Oryctolagus cuniculus: one gene and its partner. The protein of the gene in region 1 interacts with the protein of each later gene in a biochemical or structural test. Links are inferred from orthologs where the notes say so. Each region holds a gene or a part of one and is shown on either strand. Other genes may lie near its edges.

Region 1 (3,108 bases):
TCGGCTTCTCCTGAGGACTCCTGCCAGCAAAGACACTTCAAAGACCCACGCCGAGCTCCCGGCTCCCAGGGCGCGGGCTCACACCCGCGGCACCCGCCGGCCTGTGGCAGTGTGTTCACGCCGAGCTCCCGGCTCCCAGGGCGCGGGCTCACACCCGCGGCACCCGCCGGCCTGTGGCAGTGTGTTCACGCCGAGCTCCCGGCTCCCAGGGCGCGGGCTCACACCCGCGGCACCCGCCGGCCTGTGGCAGTGTGTTCAGCGTGTGACAAACGTGGGGTCATCCCTGGCCCTCAGCGGGCATCATTTCCAGCTCCACTTTAGAGGTGAGGAAGCCGGGGCACTGAGAGATGGCCAAAGCAGGCGGCAGCAGACAACAGGCGGGCGGCCTCCTGGGTCACACAGGAAGAGCCTGCCACAGGCCTGGGTGGTTCCCAAGCTGGTGGCCACTGCTCAGGGAAGTCCTGCTCATTGCGACAAGAGGCTCCCGGGAGCAGCTGACTGGACCTTTTTCTTCCCGGTGCTTTGTATGCAAAGATTTTAAGAGTTTTAAGATTTATTTTCATTTTATTTGAGAGAGGGAGGGATCTTCCATTGCTGGTCAGCTCCCCAAATGCCCACACCAGCCAGGGCTGGTCCACGTGCAAAGCCAGGGACCCAGAACTCAATCTGGGTCTCCTATGTCAATGGCAGGGGCCCAGCTACCTGACCATCATCTGTGCTCCCAGGGGGCATCAGCAGGAAGCCGGATGGCAAGTGCAGCAGCCAGGACATGACCCAGGCACTTCGACATGGGATGCAGCCATCAAACACTTGTCCCTCGAAGTGTTTAAAAGCCCAATTTGTGATTGAAACAAGGGGAGCCACCCACCAGGAGTCACCCTTCGAGCAGTTGTTTTTCTTTTTTTTTTTTTTTTTTTTTTTTTTTATTTTTGACAGGCAGAGTGGACAGTGAGAGAGAGAGAGAGAGAAAGGTCTTCCTTTGCCGTTGGTTCACCCTCCAATGGCCGCCGCTGCAGCCGGCGCACCGCGCTGATCCGATGGCAGGAGCCAGGAGCCAGGTGCTTTTCCTGGTCTCCCATGGGGTGCAGGGCCCAAGCACCTGGGCCATCCTCCACTGCACTCCCTGGCCATAGCAGAGAGCTGGCCTGGAAGAGGGGCAACCGGGACAGAATCCGGCGCCCCAACCGGGACTAGAACCCGGTGTGCCGGCGCCGCAAGGTGGAGGATTAGCCTGTTGAGCCACGGCGCCGGCTTGTTTTTCTTGAAATGTAAAGTGCAGGGCGCTGTTTTGCAGAGGTTAAGACACTAGGTAGGGGCGCAAAAGGTTAATCCTCTGCCTGCAGTGCCGGCATCCAATGTGGACAATGGTTCAAGTCCCGGCTTCTTTTCTTCCAATCCAGCTCTCTGCTGTGGCCTGGGAAAGCAGCAGAAGATGGCCCAAGTCCTTGGGCCCCTGCACCCACGTGGGAGACCTGGAAGAAGCTCCTGGCTTCGAATCAGGTCAGCTCCGGCCATTGCAGCCATTTGGGAAGTGAACCAGTGGATGGAAGACCTCTCTCTGTGTCTCTCTCTCTCTCTCATTATCTATAACGCTACCTTTCAAATAAAGAAATAAAATATTTAAAAAAAAAATTAAAAGACACTGGTGGTACACCTGCGCCTCCTGTGACGCCAGCTCCTGCAGTGTGCGCCCTGGGAGGCAGCAGGTGACGGCACCAACACTTGGGTCCCCGCCACACACCTGGGAGCCCTGGCTGGAGTTCGCCGCCCTGGACTTTGGCCTGGCCCAGCCCAGAAATAAACAGTGGGATGGGAGCTCTCTGTCTCTCCCTCTCTCTGCTTCTCAAATAAAAACTCCCACGCACTCTGAGTGACACCAACAGGCCCCGGCGCCCCACCCTCCCACGCGGCTCCTCCAGCCAGCACTGTGGTTCCCTTTGCCCTCGGTGACCACCCCGCAGGTGGAGCTCCCCGGCCTCTGCCTGCCCTCTGCCTGTGTTCCCAGCTGACTTCCCCCCGGGTCCGGGCACTTCCCAGGAAGGGGAGGAGAGCATGTGTGTGCACATGGGGGTCTCACCTCCGGGAGGGCAGCCGCCGCCGCATGCGGTGACAGTCTAGTACCCACTCTTTACGCACGATGCGGCCTCCGAGGCCCAGGACCTGGCTGTACTTGGGGGTGTTGGCAAAGGCACAGCTGCAGGGGTAGAGTGGAGGGGTCTGTTAGGTGTGAGCCGAGGGGGAAAGGCGAGGGGGGGGACGCGAGAGGCAAGGAGGGAGGGAGAAAGAGACAGTGAGAGAAATGTGGGCGACACAGAGACAGAGATGGGAAACCACGGGAGAGATACAGACATCAGAGATGGAAGCTACAGACAGACAGTGAGAGCGTGCGTGCGAGCGAGGCAGAGGAGCAGAGCAGGGCGGGGGTGGGGGGAAGGGCGGGACACGGGCAGGAGGCGGCCTGGCCTACATGAGATGGGTGCTGTCCGGGGTCCAGTCTGGCCGGTACTTGGCCCCCAGCTCCAGGGCCTTGTCCCGCAGCTCCGAGCGGAAGGGGTTCTGGAAGCCACTCAGCACCACCACCACCCCTTGAAGGATCTTCCCCAGCTCCTGGGGGCCGGCTCGGGGGGCCCTGGGCTCGGCGCCTTCACCTTCATCCCGCGGCTTCCCCACCACTGCCCCCTGTGCTGCAGCAGGGACGGGGGCCGCGGCCGGGGTACGGCTGGGAGCTGGCACTGTGGAAGCCGAAGTCGAGATACAGTCAGCACCACTGGGCTAAACCTCCAGCCCCTCTTCTCAGACCCAGGGCCCTGGTCCCAGCCCCTCCTCCCTCAGACCTAGGAGTGCAGGCCCCCAGCCCTCCTCCCTCAGACCCAGGGGTCCAGACCTCAGCCCCTCCTCCCTCAGACCCGGGGTCCAGGCCCCAGCCTCTCCTCCCTCAGACCCAGGGGTGCCGACCTCAGCCCCTCCTCCCTCAGACCCGGGGTCCAGGCCCCCAGCCCCTCCTCCCTCAGACCCAGGGCCCAACCCCAGCCCCTCCTCCCTCAGACCCAGGGTCCAGGCCCCAGCCCCTCCTCCCTCAGACCCAGGGTCCAGGCCCCCAGCCCCTCC
Region 2 (3,500 bases), on another chromosome or scaffold:
AGAGAGGGGGAGAGAGAGAAAGAGATCCTTCATCTGCTGGTTCACTCCAAATGGCTATATTGGCCAGGGCTGGTCCAGGCTTAAGCCAGGGGACCAGAACTTTACCCAGGTCTCCCACATGAGTGGCAGTGGCCCAAGCACTTGGGCCATTCTTTGCTGCTTTTACAGGCACATTAGAAGGGAGCTGGATGGGAAGCAGAGCAATTGGGACTTGAACTCACACTTGATTTGGGCTGCTGGTGTTGTAAGTAGTGGCATAACCCACTCTGCCATAATGCTGGTGCTTCCCTTCACAGATCTATCTATCTGCACATATATATGTGTATATATATGTGTGTGTATACACACACATACACCCAGGATATGTGTGTGTGTATATATGTATATATATGTATATGTGTGTGTGTATGTATAAATCAATCAATCAATCCAGATCTCCCATGTGGGTGCAGGGGCCCAAGTACTTGGGCCATCTTCCACTGTTTTGCCCAGGCCATTAGCAGGAGCTGGATTGGAAGTGGAACAACTGAGACTTGAACCAGCGCCCAAATGGGTTGCTGGCATCATAGACAGTGGCTTTACCCACTATGCCACAGTGGCAGCCCCTCGCCCACAGATTCTTGTTCTGGGTTAGAATCCTAAATTTCCTACCTAGTAACTATGTGTGTTGTAAAAGACACTGGATCTCTGTGAGTCTCAGTGCTCTCATCTGTCAAAGTTGGGCTACAAAACATTTTGTACAAGACAGTGGTGGGAATTAGGTGACTTAATGAATATGACAGCACCTGGTACACAGATAATTCTCAGTAGATGTCTGTTTTCTTCTCTTGTGCCTCTCTGCTAGGTCTACAAAGATGAGCAGGTGGTAGTGATTAAGGATAAATATCCGAAGGCCCGTTACCACTGGCTGGTCTTACCATGGGCCTCCATTTCCAGTCTGAAGGCTGTGACCAGGGAACACCTTGAACTCCTCAAGCATATGCACACTGTAGGGGAAAAGGTGATTGCAGATTTTGGGTCCAGCAAACTCCGCTTCCGACTGGGCTACCACGCCATTCCTAGCATGAGGTAAGCTTGTGGGAGGTCCTGGGGCCTTCTTGTTCTGTCCAGGTGTTCAGGTAGATTCAGCCTGGGCTTGCTGAGTGTGCTGACAGCCCTGAGGCCCAGGGGAGTAGGATGGGATGTTTTCAAGACCTCTCAGCTTGACTTACCTGCAAACCTGCTCTGCCTATATTTCAGTTATGTATGATTCTTTGTTCCTCTCAAAATTCAGACCTTTCAGGACTTCAAATATGAGCTAGATGCAGCAGCTTGATTCCTCTCAGGTGAGGAACTGTGGTCAGTGGCTTTTATCAGATTTTTCAAAAGCATCTGCAGTGCTAAAATGACTAAGGACTGTTGCTCTGAAGGAAACACACACTGTAGGCTTCTTGAAAGATGGCTTAGTAGACCTAAGATTTAAAATAAAGTGAGAGGACAGTAGGGAGTCTGTTCCTTTGACTTATACCCAGAAGGATTTGGAAAGGAATTATTTTTCAAAAGAATGCAAGCAAGGCAGATCTTCACAGTTCCTTTGACCTGCAGAGTAAGATAATGAGACTGATTTCAAGTTTGTACCTTAATTTTATTTTTTAAAGATTTATTTATTTATTTATTTAGGGGCTGGCGCTGTATTTATTTGAAAGGCAGAGTTACAGAGAAGCAGAGAGAGAAAGAGCGGTCTTCTGTCTGTGGGTTTACTCCTTAAATGGCTGCAACAGCTGGAGCTGGGCCGATCCAAAGCCAGGAGTCAGGAACCAGGAGCTTCTTCCAGGTCTCCCACATGGGTGCAGGGGCCAAGAACTTGGGCCATCTTCTACTGCTTTCTCAGACCATAGCAGAGAGCTGGATCTGAAGTTGAGCAGCCGGGACTTGAACCAGCGCCCAAATGGAATGCTGGTGCCACAGGCAGAAGCTTAGTCCCCTAGGCCACAACACTGGTCCCTGTACTTTATTTATTTATTTATTTTATAAAGACTTACTTTATTTATTTGAAAGGCAGAGTTACTGAGATAGGTAGAGAGAGGGGTCTTCCATCCGCTGGTTCACTCTGCAAATGGCCACAATGGCCAGAGCTGAGCTGATCCAAATCCAGGAGCCAGGAGTTTCTTCTGGGTCTCTCATGTGGGTGCAGGGGCCCAAGGACTTGGGCCATCCTCTGCTGCTTTCCCAGGCACATTAGTAGGGAGTTGTATCAGAAATGGAGCAGCCGGGGCTCAAACCGGCACCCATATGGGATGCCAGCGCAGCAGGCAGAGGCTTAGGCCACTATGCCACTGCACCAGCTCCTGTAGCTTATTTTTTAAAAGTTGTGGTAAAATATGCATTAAGTGTGTTCTTTACTGGCATTAAGTATATTCACATTATGGTGCAACCATCATTGCCATCCTTCTCCAGGACTTTTTTCATCTTCCCCAAATGAAACACTGTACCCAGTAAATAATAATTCCCCATTAGACCAACATTCCCCTTTCTGTCTGTGAATGGAGTACAATAGTCTTTCCTCATCTGTGAGTCTGTGAGGGATATATTACAAGACCCCAGGGGGTGCCTGAAACTACTGAGCTCCATATATATATATACTTTTCTTTCTTCTTCTTCTTCTTTTTTTTTTTTAATTTTACTTATTTGAGAGAGTTACAGCCAGTGATAGGGACAGACAGAAAAGTCTTCCGTCCGTTGATTCACTCCCTAAATGGCCACAGTGGCTGGAGCTGGGCCATCCGAAGCTGGGCCAATCAGAAGCCAGGAGCCAGCAGCCTCTTCTGAGCCTCCCACACGGGTGCAGGGGCTCAAGCTCACAGGTGGAGGCTTAACCTACTGTGTCACAATGCCAATGTATACACTTTTTAACAATATGTACATATCTATGATAAGGTTTAAAAAATTTTTTTTTTTTTTGACAGGCAGAGGTAGACAGAGAGAGAGGCAGAGAGAAAGGTCTTCCTTTTTCTGTTGGTTCACCCCTCAAATGGCTGCTACGGCCAGTGCGCTGCGCTGATCCGAAGCTGGGAGCCAGATGCTTCCTACTGGTCTCCCATGCGGGTGCAGGGCCCAAGCACTTGAGCCATCCTCCACTGCCTTCCCGGGCCACAGCAGAGAGCTGGACTGGAAGAGGAGCAACTGGGACAGAATCTGGTGCCCCAACCGGGATTAGAACCTGGGGTTCCGGCGCCGCAGGTGGAGGATTAGCCTAGTGAGCCGTGGCGCCAGCAAGAGAGTCATCTTAACAATGCACTGCAATGAAAGTTATGTACATTTGGTTTTCTTGAGGAGTTAAGACAAATATTAGTATTTTGGACTGTGGTTGACTTTGGGTAACAAAAACAAACTGCAGGTGGGGGGCACCATACTCTGAGTATGTTATATAAATGAAATCATGCAGTATTTGATGTTTTGTGACTGACTTATTTTACTTAACATAATGATGTCTTCAGAGTTTATCCATACTGTAGTATGTG

What was found.
Region 2: the proteins of XRCC1 (region 1) and APTX form a complex in vitro, tested with the Homo sapiens proteins (2 studies listed by BioGRID). The link is inferred for Oryctolagus cuniculus from reciprocal best matches to the Homo sapiens genes XRCC1 and APTX.

The regions. Positions count from the first base shown.
Region 1 is NC_091449.1:12,347,082-12,350,189, reverse strand, and holds part of XRCC1 (DNA repair protein XRCC1), read right to left. Parts: intron 2,733-3,108; coding exon 2,468-2,732; intron 2,195-2,467; coding exon 2,078-2,194; intron 1-2,077. UniProt on the Homo sapiens protein: Scaffold protein involved in DNA single-strand break repair by mediating the assembly of DNA break repair protein complexes. Negatively regulates ADP-ribosyltransferase activity of PARP1 during base-excision repair in order to prevent excessive PARP1 activity.
Region 2 is NC_091432.1:196,396,194-196,399,693, reverse strand, and holds part of APTX (aprataxin), read left to right. Parts: intron 1-844; coding exon 845-1,068; intron 1,069-3,500. UniProt on the Homo sapiens protein: DNA-binding protein involved in single-strand DNA break repair, double-strand DNA break repair and base excision repair.